Linked DNA regions of Drosophila melanogaster. The protein of the gene in region 3 interacts with the protein of the main gene of each other region in a pairwise test. Each region holds a gene or a part of one and is shown on either strand. Other genes may lie near its edges.

Evidence for each region.
Region 1: the proteins of CG31797 (region 3) and Uro interact in a two-hybrid assay, tested with the Drosophila melanogaster proteins (one large-scale study listed by BioGRID).
Region 2: the proteins of CG31797 (region 3) and CG12857 interact in a two-hybrid assay, tested with the Drosophila melanogaster proteins (one large-scale study listed by BioGRID).

Annotation. Positions count from the first base shown.
Region 1 is NT_033779.5:7,778,280-7,781,915, reverse strand, and holds Uro (urate oxidase), read right to left. Parts: upstream 1,832-3,636; 5' UTR 1,799-1,831; coding exon 1,225-1,798; intron 1,156-1,224; coding exon 671-1,155; 3' UTR 501-670; downstream 1-500. Other genes in the region: CG7164 (uncharacterized protein), read right to left, coding at 1-4, 65-281. UniProt on the Drosophila melanogaster protein: Catalyzes the oxidation of uric acid to 5-hydroxyisourate, which is further processed to form (S)-allantoin.
Region 2 is NT_033778.4:14,757,407-14,761,572, reverse strand, and holds CG12857 (uncharacterized protein), read left to right. Parts: upstream 1-1,970; 5' UTR 1,971-2,016; coding exon 2,017-2,090; intron 2,091-2,147; coding exon 2,148-2,898; intron 2,899-2,953; coding exon 2,954-3,451; 3' UTR 3,452-3,666; downstream 3,667-4,166. Other genes in the region: Trs31 (TRAPP subunit 31), read left to right, coding at 3,792-3,967, 4,023-4,166.
Region 3 is NT_033779.5:19,258,923-19,263,955, forward strand, and holds CG31797 (uncharacterized protein), read right to left. Parts: upstream 3,319-5,033; 5' UTR 3,212-3,318; coding exon 605-3,211; 3' UTR 510-604; downstream 1-509.

The DNA.
Region 1 (3,636 bases), about 11 Mb from region 3:
ACCGCTAAGTAAATGATTGATTGGTTTTGAAAGTTTCTGGTTAGTTTTTAGCACAACAGCTTACACTTCATGGTCGAGTGAATATTGGCCACCATATTGTCGTAGGTCTTTCTGGTGTCGGGCAACAGGTAACGTCCTGGCAACTGACTCGATCTTAGCGAGGCCTTGATCCTGTCCCTCCTGGACAGCTGCGACAGCCTGGTCTTGGCGCTCTCCTCCTGTTCCCAGTCCCTTCGCAGCTGGGTGGTCAGGATGTGGTGCAAGGCCAGTCGATTGGTCATGGTCACGCTGTTTGTGGCTAAATGGTTATTTGCTAATTTCGAATTTAGATTGCGAATTTTGACTGCCAAAGTGGTCGAAAATTGTGGAATTTATTTTATATATTTTTTTTTATGAACGATGCCTCATTTTAGGATTTTAGAAAATAGTTCTGATATAATTTGGATTTATTCAGCCAAGGCAAGGGTGATCTCGAAATATGGTTTTGCAATCGATTTATTCATTTTTACACTTTATTTTTTATTAGTTTATTATTGTTTAAATAAGAAGAACGCAGCATATGATTCGTTTGCTTAAATAATTTAAAATACATATATAACTTCGCCGCATGCAATTATGAATTGGCTAAATTGATTTAGATTGATTTAGATTTACTACATCAGAGATCGATCTACAGGTGACTATTGATGTTCTTCCGGGCCAATTGGGCATAGATGGTGCCATGTGGCTTGTCCACTGGGATGAAAACTTCATTGTTGTCGCCGGGTGCAATCTTCTGGAAGGGCTTCGTATCGAAGTTGAAGTAGTGCTTGTTTGGCATGGTCATCGAAATGACCGACACCTGCGGCAGGACATCCAGGACCTGTCTTTCACTCAGATACAGGGTGTGCTGAACGGAGGGCGAGGACACGCCCACCTGCGGATCGCCAGCAAAGTTACGAATGATTATGTTTTTGACCGTTTGCCAGGCCCTGAGGAAGTCCAAGTTCTCGGTATCGGAGTACTCCCAGGAGCAATCCACCACGGTGCTAAAGATGCGATCATACTGATCTGGCAGAGATCTGAACTCATCGTTCACGAAGTTCACGAACGAGGATTGGGTCGTCTTCAGCACCCGGAGACCCTTGATGCCCGTGATGACCGTTTGTTTGGGATCTAAAACAGTAAAGGAGGTGATAATTTAGTAGTTTTAAATATTATTGCTTTAGTTATGTTTGACTTAACCTGTTCTCCTTATAACCACATCGCAGTAGTGAAGAGCGGTGGGCGTGAATATAAAAGCGTGATTGTGCAGTGATCTGTTGTCAATGGAGCTGAAGTCGCAGTTCCCTTGGACTCCGTTCTCGCACTTCCCATTGACGTTGGTCCTGGTCTCCTCCTGGCAAACTCGCTGCCAGGGATACGCCTCCACATGAACGTGCGCCTCCTCCACGTGCGAGTATTTGTTAATAAAGTGCCTGGCCAGGAGCAGAGCAAACTTCTCGGGACTTTCAATGCCATGCTTTTTCGCCAGCAAATAGACGGTGTTCTTCTGCGAATCGGTGGCCACGATGTCCGAGTTGTTGCCCTGGTAGTAATCCTTTTTGCTGTACAACTTCAGGTGAGTGCCCACCTCGAATTCCTGGATGGCGTGCACGGGTCCGTTGCGGCTGACATGCAGCACCTTGACCGCATCCTTGCCGTATCCGTGATCGGTAATCTCGTACTGATACGGCTTACCATGCTCATCCATGCCGGCGGAATTCTTTGGGGTCTGGTGGTTAGCCGCAGCTGGCTGTCTGAGGGGCGTGGCAAACATTGTGACTGCAATCACTCTCACTTTGATACTGATGATGCCATCAATTTCCTTGCCGCCTTTTATATCAGAACACCTGGATAACAACACAAATCTTTGTGTAGTTAGGGATTTTTTTTAGCGCATTTCGTAGAAAGCAAGTGGCTGGGAAATCGTATATCATCACTCTCACTTAGAGTATTAAAGGTCTAACTCAAATTACGACTAGTAGCGCTGATAATCGCGGCCTGGTGCCAAGTAAACATGACCAAGACTCAAGGCTATGTTTTCTATCTCCAAAACTTTGCATCTTGTTTACTTCACACTCATCTAACCAAATCCTTATTTTTGCAATATTACGTAGGAGATAAGTCGCAAATGCCGTTTTAACCATTAGCATCACTTTCGGGGGTAAATGAAAATTGGTAAATAATTTTTACAGATCACATCTCTGAATTTTATTCTTTTTTAAAATCTTAATTTCTCTCTTATTCACGCACGAGTCACTATTATTATTAAAACCTTGAAAATGTGTGCGTTGAAAAGATACATTTATTATTTCACAACATTGGAAAATAACAATTATTTCACCATAGAAAAAAAATATTAATTTACGTCTTAAATTTGATGTGACACTTTTGTTTATTAAATTTTAGGAGACCATTTTTAATATCCTTGATAATGGTCTTAAAAAATACACATGTTTAAGTTGAGTTTCTGGAATAATCTAATGTGACAGAATGTGTTCAGATGGATTCGACTGATCAAAAGTTTAGATATATAATTTATAGAATCGGAAACGCTTTACTTTACCAGTTACATACTGTTCAGTAAGCCTAGTATACCCTTTTAGTAAAGGGAATAAAAGGTTGGCATAGCAACTGCAGATCTGAAAGAGTGCAATTTGTAATAAAATGAAAGCTGTATTTGCAAAGAGTTTATCATTTCCGTGTGAGTCTAAACTTTTTATAAACCATTATTCTATTAAAAAACAAAACAATTTTATTATGTAGTGGGTCATAAGTACGTGTGAGCCAATCTACATATGTATATCAAAATATTTATTAACTAACCTATAAAATATAGAATGGTTTTTTCAAATACTCATAAACAGTAAATGACAATACACATATAGATACTATTATATATCACTATAAGATAGGGCGTTTAGTCTCGATTTATTAGCTGGAGGATTTAAACATACCACTTCAGCTTAGTGTTAAGTCAGTTTTATTATATGGATATAGAAAATGTCAGATGTTCTCTGCTATCTTGTGGTGGTCAAATTGCTCAGCAGCCAAATAATCTACTCTCTGCATAAAATTTCTATCTACAGAAGCTGTGGCTTAGTGCTAATCCAGTTTAATCTCATACATACTCTGGGTGAAGATATTTCAAAAGATATGTGCGCGCTTTTTTAAGATATACATTTGACATATATTTGTTTAACACGGTTTTTAGGAGCGTGCCTTGTATGCATAATGGTCTCCCACGATCCGAAATAGCTATATTCATATGTTTGTTGGCAAGTTATGTAAGTTCCGTTTTTGGTTATTGGCTTAAGATAAACTCTATGTTGGAATTGAAGTGTCATTGTTTGTTAAGCGAGAGTTTTATTTAGCAAAGATAATAATATTCGTGTTTATATAAAGGTTTTGATTTCACGGTTAAGTAAATTTGATAATAAAGTTTACTTTCGCATAAGCACGCGTCATAAAGTTATTTGGCTTAGTTTATGCATTATATTGTAGTACTCTACTGATATGATAAACTATATGATCTTGAAGATGATGATATGATTGTAAACGAGTAGAGAACCCCTGCCACATGAATCATCCCCAAAAGATGTACCGCCTGGAATT
Region 2 (4,166 bases), on a different chromosome or scaffold from region 3:
GCACAGCTTTTTCAAATCGGGTGAAAGAAGAATGCGTAAGAAGCAATTCAGCTTGAAAATCAGTTTGCCAAAATGGGTCTGGGGTTCGATTTTAGTATCATTTCGGTATACTCCATTTGAATTGCCATAATTAATTGTATATACAAAAGAGCAGGAAGGATTATGTATCTAATTTTAATATACTTTTAAAATTGTAACTTATGTTTAGTGCTCTCGCTTAATTATAGTTTTGTAAAAACGGGCTATTTGTTTTTATTCGTAACTGAACACACATTTTTTTGAAAAATCAAAATATTATACAATGATTGTTTTAGTTTTAGTTGTTTAGGGTTTTTTGCTATTTTACACTTGCTTGTTTACAATTCGAAATTGGAGAACAGTATTAAAAGGCCAAGGCGAAGGCAAAGGCGAAACGAGAACTAAATATATTTAAATGCGATTTTCTCTGCGCGATTCCAATTTGTTAATCAATGTCACGCGCTCAAAAACTCACACGAAAAGTTCAAACAAACGGCAACCTGATGCGCAAATGAATAAAAAAAAAAAAATCGAGACACGCAACAACTCGGCAGAAGAATTAGTGGACGACGACGACACGGCTGTCGAGCCGTTCTTCTCCGAACCTGAAGAAGAATTACAAATTGTATTCGATTTACTCCTCTAGCAAAAGAGTCTGCGGCAATGCTCAAGTTTTGTGCGTTCGCTATGCTCGGCAATTGTTACTTAAATGTGCTTTAGTTCAGAACTATGTACCCATTCGGTTGCCTTATAAAAAGGATGTTTTTGTCTCTTCTTAGGGCTCATGAAGATTCAAAATATTCCTTTTGCCCCAAACTCAAAACGTTTGTTTTCCAAAATCTTTTGTTCAGACGTTGAAATAGAATGAGAAACCAATTAGAATTAGAGAGTCGATGGACAAACAAAGAGCGCAGCATTGCTCGATTGGAAATCTTTTGCAACTAAATAATTCTAGAATGCGAAGCAATTTGTAATTTTTATTGAAATGCCAACAACTTTGGGCCGTTTATAAAATGGCCGAAAGAGGAGGCATTTGAGCAAAGGGGTAAAAATAAAACAAAAACAAAAAACAAACAATTTAAGTGTTTTCAAAAAGTCAACAAACTCATATATGCAGCTATATATATATATAAAAATAATAAAAAAAAAAACATTAATTTATTTCTTACTATATAATTATTGTTGTACTAAGTCGGTGAGAAAACCCATGAAAGAAAGAAATTCACACGAAAACTAAAAAACAAAATGCATATTTATTAAAAATAAGCAAAGGTTGTGCAAAAAAAAAACACATTAAAAAGCAACATTATTATTGTAAAAATTAACTAAATACGGCAATTGTTATTAAATGTGCAAAATTCAGCAAACACATTGATACAAACCTCAGAAAATACAAGCCAAGATCTGAAAACGGACATCAATGGAATGCAAATTTTTGAAAATATAAGGCAAGATGAACCGTGAACGGATCAAACAGAAACGGAAACGGAAACAAAACACTCAACAACAAGAAGTACAAAATGTTAAATATGTATCTATAATTTACAATTACGTTTTATATTACTCTCTAATTTACACGCTTACACAATGGAAAAATAGCTAACTATTATTGCAATCGTCCTCAAACACACAATAAAACTAGATCAAAAGGCGGAATTATTACTTTAGCTAAAATAAAATATCACCTTTTGCAATTTGTATCATTTTCTTACCCTTATTGTTTCACATCGAAATCAGAAAAAATAGTTAAAATAGCCGCATATACTCATATTAAATTGAAAAGAAACGTGTCATTGCAGAAAAGGATAAAGAAAATAGTAATATAAATGATATATTTATTCATATAAATGTATTTGAAAATGTGAACAAAAGAATACCAACAATAAAACACAATTTAATAAACAATGTGAAAGCTACGAGTGTGTTTTTTTTTTAAAACACTTAAAAACACAGTAGCCGTGCAGTCAAAAATCCAAAACAAGAAAACCAAATTTCGAAATGGAGGAGCTAATGAGGCAGAACGGACAGAAATGCGAGAGGCAGGAACTCACCTGCAGCGTTTTATTTACCAAGTGAGTTAATCTTAAACCAGTCGGAGTAATCTTAAAATATTTTCCTTCTCCTTGCAGTCCCAAGCTTAGTGCCGAGAAGTTATCCTCCAATGATGAAATAAACTCCATTGCGAGATTCGTATCGAAGGCGGAGGATCTCGAAATGCATAGAGTGTTCAGTAAGATATCAAAGAATGGTGTCGAGGAGACCACGTCTCTGAATCGCTCCCTCTTCGAGTTCGGTCATAATTTCGAGGATGCCGATGGCTGGCTGAAACTGGAGCAGCCTTGCAAGGATCGGCTGGCCACGGTGCTGCGCTACATGTTCGAGTCCCATCTGAAGACCACTGTGCAGATAGAAATCAACAATATGTACTTCAATTGCCACTTCATCGTGCTGCAGGTGTACTCTCGCTTCTTTAGTGAACTGGAGATGATTCCGCTGCTGGTCACCCTGCCCGAGAAGATCGTGTCCCAGAAGGCCTTTATGCTCTCCTACAAATGGATGCTGAGCGATGAGCCCGTCCTGGAGCTGGCTCACATTGTGGAGGTCTATGTGGCCGCCACTTATTTGAGGATCTCTGGTCTGGCGGCGCATTGTTGGAAATATTTCGATGATGAGGAATACTACAACGAGGATACGGCATGTGTCCTATACGTCGAGTCGAAGGACAATCCCGCCATGGATGTAGTTCGCAATTTGATGCTGACTAGGATCCGCAAGTTTCTGCTCACCTTTGTGGCCACCAGGGATTTCCTCGATCTGCCGACCTCCCATCTGATTTTTTTGCTCGAATCCGATCAAATCTGTGTGAACACCGAGATTGAGGTGGTGTTCAACATAATATTTATAGTTATTATTGCATTTTATATGTTTTTCTTAGGTTTTCTTTATAGCTGTTCGATGGCTGGGTCACGATTGGAACAAGAGGAAAGTGCACGTACGTCGTTTAATGTCCTGTATTCGATTCAACCTGATGCCATTGTGGTATCTACTATATGCGCGACGGGAGGAGGATCACCCGTTGGTGATGAAGCTGATTTTCAACCCGGAGGTGGAGTACAAGATCGACGAATCCATATCGAGAATAACGTCGCGCATGTACGAGGATGCCTTGGAGGGCAATGACGCACAGAGTGAGGAATACGCAAGTGATTCCGGACAGCGAAACTGGATATGCGATAGCTTGTGCAGCTATTATCACGGCGTCGGTTGTCCCAATACCCGGGAAATTCGTTTCAAACACTTCGAGGATTACCTTTCGGAATTACAACAATGCTCCAAAGATCACTGGTCTCAGGTGATATTTCAGGACCCGAGTAAAAAGATTGACTGTTGCAGCACAAGGAAGATAAAATCGGACGATTTTGTTGCCGATTAACTATTGAGTTTGAATAGTAACGACTAGAATTCAAATTTGCGGGCTTCAGTTTGTGCTAGTATAACAACTTGGCACACTTTTCTGTTATACATTGTACACTTCGTTCATTTGATATTTATGAAACAAATCAGCATATTTTTAATAATATATTTTTTAAAATGTACATCAACATTTTAAAAAAAAAGCAAGTGGTTTAATAAATATAATTAATATTTATTGTATTATTGTCGCAACTTTAAGTGTGACCATTTCTGCAACGCTCTTTGGCATTTCGGGCAGATAGGGTGGCGTGCACACTTTGCATTGTTTTGGAAAATAATTTGATACATTTATCAGGAAAATGGAAAAACTGGAGGCCCTAAAAATATCCTCGATGCGTCCGCGCAGCAACATCCTAGACAGACCACTATCCAAGGGCAAAACGGAGGTTTCCCAGAGCATTGTGGCGCTGCTTTTCAGCGAAATCGTCCAGTACTCGCAGAGCCGAGTGTTTACAGTCCCAGAATTGCAAACAAGGTGGGAGTTTCTCTAAGTTTTTGCGATTAATTCGTTAATTCCAAGGCGTTTTCAGACTCCACGATCTGGGTCAAGATGTAGGCACCCGCATAATCGACCTGTATTTCGTGAGGGAGCGCAGCTCCAAGCGAGAAACAAAACTAACCCAAATGCTTCTCTTTGTTAAGACCACGGTGTGGAAGAATCTCTTTGGCAAAGA
Region 3 (5,033 bases):
GCACCACATTGCAATGGATTTGGGCAAGGGGTTGGGGTAGTATTTGATAGCTTTCTGTGGACTTTCCTCCCCCAAACCCCTTCACGCACTGCTGCCTAATGGCCTTTAATTGAGCGCTGGGAAAACGTTCAAGTGTTTGCGGCTGTTGAAAAATTTTTGGGAAATTCGATATTGAAAATAAAGTGGCTGTAATGCTGGGCCTTGGCCAAAAACACACCCAAACCCATTGATTGCCTAAGGATTCTGTCATTTTTTGCTTGCGATTGACACTCACAATTTGTTTGCTGATTGCTCTGCATTAGCAGAATTATGAATGAGTGGCAAAGTGTCTAACTTTTTACTTTTTTACTTACTTTTTTAAATGTTTTGGAGTGGAAAGTCTGCCATCTTAAAAGGCTTCTTCAGAGGCTGTTCAAAAAACGCATTTCGACTGTAAACTAACAAAAATGTAGAGTATGTATTCGGGTTTCATCAATATGGAAAAGCTGTCTTGCATAAAAAACTTTTTTATGTCTTGTTTAATATAAAACAGATACTCCAAGGAGCCAAACATATTCCATACACACATAGGTACTTTCTCAAACACAAAGACCTCCGATCCAGTTCACGCCAGAATGCAATCGCACATTCGCTGGCAAACGCGTTTCCGGAGATTCTCGACGCGCAGGAGCAGTCTGCTGTGATCCTCGTTGTCCTTGGAGCCGGAGAGAAGATTCTGCAGCTCCTGGACGGCTCCCAGGCAATCGCAGTGCTCGGCGAGTCGGGGATTTTGGCACAAGAAGTTGGAGCAGTAGATCGGATCGCATTGGTGCCTGGGCGCCCGGTACTCTGTCTTGCATCGATCCCGGATGTATTCCTGATGGCGCATCTGGCGGTAATAGGCACGCAGCTGGCGCTTCTGCTCCACACGCCTCATTTCCCGCATGAAGGGAGCCTCCTGTTCGTTGAAAGGGCGATCCATGAAGTGACAGATCTCGCACTGGCAACCTGCCGGTGGACAAGGTGGACAGACTTTCTTGGGCTTATCCTTGCAAACTTTCTTAATCCTCTTCATTTTCTTTTTCTTGGGCGGATCCTTTAGCTTACAAGTCGGAGCCGCTGGCTCGTCCCTGACAATTTCTAGGGCTGGAAATTCGTAATCTTCCACCCTAGTTCCTCTTTTGATAGTTTTATCGAACTCCATATCCACGGGGATATCGAAGAATCGCGAGGTCACTTCTGGCAGGTTGCTGTTCGGTTTATTTTCTTCAATTTTACTATCTTCGTTTGATTTATTTTTGTTCTTTTTATTGTTTGGAATTTTAATATCATCACGGTCATATTTTTCATATTCTAAATCCATGTCTTTGATTTTATCTTCATCTTTATATTTTTCTTTGTGTTTTTGTTGCTTTTTTTCTTTGCCCTTTTCTGGAAATTGATCCTTTCCTCTGTTTTTGTCTTCCTTTTGTTTTCCAGTTTCATGTTCCTTGTTAACTTCTTTTTCTTTCCCCTTTCCTTTTTCTCTTTCTTTTTCAATTCCTCTTTCCCTTTCTTTTTCTTCTTGCTTTCCCTTTTCTTCCCTTTCTTGTTCTCGTTCCATTGGCTTATCCTTTTCATGTGGTCTTTCCCTTTCTTTAAATTTTTCTATTTCCTGTTCCTTTCCAAGTTCTTTTTCCTTGTTATTTTCATTTTCTATTTCGTTTTCTTCTTCTTCCTTTTCTCTTTCTTTTCTTTCGCCTTCTTCTTTTTCTCTTGGTCTTTCAATTCCTTTATAATTTTCTTTATCTCTTTCCCTTGCTTTTTCCTTTCCTTTTCCCGTTTCCTTGTTCTTTTCTTTCTTTTTCTTTACCTTTTCTCTCTTCTTTTCTGTTTCTTTATCCTTGCCTTTTTTCTTTTCTTTCGCCTTTTCCCTTTTTTTCTTTTCTCGTTCTTTTTCTTTGTCCTCTTTATTCTTGTATCTATCCTGATTTTTATATTTATTTTCTTCTTGATTAAAATTTACGACCTTGTCTTTATTTTTATCGTTGTTTTGATCACCATCATTATCATTTTCCTTAATTGAAACTCTTGGCTTATCTTTATTAACGAATTGATTTTTATCCTTGTCATTTTCTTTGTCCCCTCTATCTCCGTTTCCATCATCTCGCACTATAGTTACTTTATCTTCCTCTCCTGGTTCGCGATTTCCGTGTCCAATTGGATTACCTGGATCGCCCGAAGACTTTGTGGGCCTACTGGGTCCTTTGGGTATTTGACTGTCACCTCCTCCTTGATTATCCTTTCCATGGGATCTTTTCGGCTTACAGCACTTCTCATAGGGCTCGCAAAGCGGATCTGGAGAAGGCTTTGGCTCAAAGCACTTAATGATTCTACTATACAGCTGATCGTAGTTCAGTGGTTCCGGACTCTTGTGTTCATCTTTCCCTTGCGGACAATGCCGAAACTCATTGTTATTGGGATTAGGATCCAGCTTGCGCTTGGCCCACTCGTACTGGGTGCACCCATGGCGAGGCTCCAAGCCATCCGGGGGGCAGTACCACTGGGGATGGCGCAGACCACGTGGGTCTTTTTTTCTTGCTGGCTCAATGTTAGAAACTTGATGTCTGGAAATGCCGGTGTACATCTGGCGTGCCACTCTAGTGGAATCGTGAGGAACTTGATTATGATCAGTGCAGTATAGCGTCCCGAAAGCCTGTCGCGGATCCAGTTGCTGTTGAACGTGGGGAATCTGCTGTAGATCAGACTGCAATGCGTGGCGGTTTAAGACAAAAGGCTTGCAAATCTGAGGGGTACGGTTCTTTTGCGCTAACGTATCCCTTGGGGATGGCTTTTTATCCTGTTTAGGGATCCTCCGCTGAGTGCCGCCGCCGTTGACCTTGACCAAGCAGGCGGCCACCACCTGGTTGAACACCACCGACTCGGGCTGGTGGGTGGGCGATCCTACGCCATAGAAGCCCAACGTGTCCTTGTGAGGACTTTGCTGCCAAGCGAGCAGCACGTCGTCTTTGACCATGTCGTAGGGTCGCCCACTGCCATCGGCCTCGAGGGTGTTGGCCAACCGTGTGGTGGCCTCGTTCTTGTTGGGGTCGCAATGTGGCTTTCCTTTTCGGATCGAGGGATACGTCTCCGCTCGTTGGGAGCGGTTGTCCTGCCGGTCGTGCCTTCCGAGCTGTGGTGGATCGTTTTCTCGGCCAGCAGAGCGACGCCGCTGCAACGCCTTCCTGCGCATTTACGATGGGATCGGATTGGACCACTCTTAATTTTCATTTACTAATAAAATTTTGTCGTTATTTATATTTTTACGCCAAATTTGAGGACTTCCTGAGAGTTGAGAGTTTTAGCAAGGTCTCAGAGATTAAACGTTGATACATACGTGCCGATTACATTCATTAACTGTAAAAGTGGCTCAGGACTTGAATTGGTAGCCAAATAGAACATTCGACCCAATGCTTAAATCCAGTAACGAGTACGAACTTCTATCATTTTTAAAACGGGACCTGCCCAGAGAATGCCATGCGTTTGCAGCCATCCAAATGAACCTCAATTAAAGTTTGCACACTTTGGTTTTTTGGCCCAGTTTTAGGCCACAATGCTGCCCCAATCGAGCCATGTTGGCCATACAATTTCCCAGCCTTTGCCACATAAATTCGCACACGAAAGAGTCTGACAAGGCTGTGCTATTTATGGAGCATTTCCTGTTCAAGCAAAAAGGCACAAAATGCCCAACTCAGCTGCTTTTAGCACTGGTGGTTGGAAGTGAATAAAGTACACTAACACACACACAAGCACACACAGAGGGGCATAAATCCAAAATTGTCTTTTGTCGCATAAATATTTTACTTTGGGCATTTGGAGCGTCCTGGCGACCAGAGAAGCAGAAGCAAGGACATGGACAATAGGCCAAGCTGGAATAGGACATGAAACGACATTATTTCTTATTATTAGAACAGCGCAAATAAATGAGACTCGGAAGGCGGGTGGCGGACGGATTTCCCCACGATGGCACTTTGTTTGTCCTGCCAGCACCGCAATTCCCACATGTCTGTCTTCATAAATGCTTTATCTGCGGCTGGCACACACACACTCTGGGTGGCTCAGTGTGTTGGCTTTTGTAATTATGTGCATATAATAAAGTTGACCTAAATAAAAATAAGCGCCGACTTTAGCGCGCTAAACAAAGGCCATGCACACGGGGGACAATGAGGGGGAAATATTGGCCATAACTACAATGGTCATATTGTGTAGCAATACTGTGTGATCCGAGCAGTTCATTAAATGATAAGCCATCGCCATCTGGACAACAATTGAGGGATCAGGCGATGCAATTTCAGGCCGCTTCGAGAAACAATCACTGGTAATTGGGGCTTTAAGCGGCGCGTGCTGCGCAGTCATGCAGCATCACATGTAAATAATCATAATTGATGAAGGAGTTGAGTGAGTGGAGGAATTTACGCTCCTTTCACGCCCTGGGCATCTGCACAGAGACATGTCTGCTTGGCGAATTTATTGCCCCAATATATTAGAGACCCTTCGCGCTTTCTCGCCAGAAATAAATTCATAAATTCATAAATTCAGCATAAAATGGCAGCACTCGCATATGCTCACTCCGTTCGCGAATTTGATTCCCTTTCTGCTGAATGTGCTTCGGCGTTATCCATTAAATGCGATGAATCAACTGTTGGCCACCATAAACAATCTTTGACTCAGTCTCTGGCACTTTCTTCTCTCTCGCGCTCTGCGCTCGCTTCTGCCATAAAACGTCAGCTGGCGGAAGCGGAAATTTATGCTCGCCATTTTGCAGCGGACATGTTTGTATTTGCCTCGCCATAAGTGTGACTGTGCGTCTGTGTGTGTGAGTGCCCTCGTCAGCGTGTGTGCGTGTGCGTATATTTGACTTCCTGTTGACGTGTTGAAGATGGCCGGCGATGCCGAGTCGACCACTAAAAAGTCGGTAACGCTTCCCAAATGGCGTGGAAATATCCGTAAGACCTCTTTTGGAGCAAACAGACTTCCATTTCGATCAAACCTTATCGTTTAGTTAAGCTTAATAA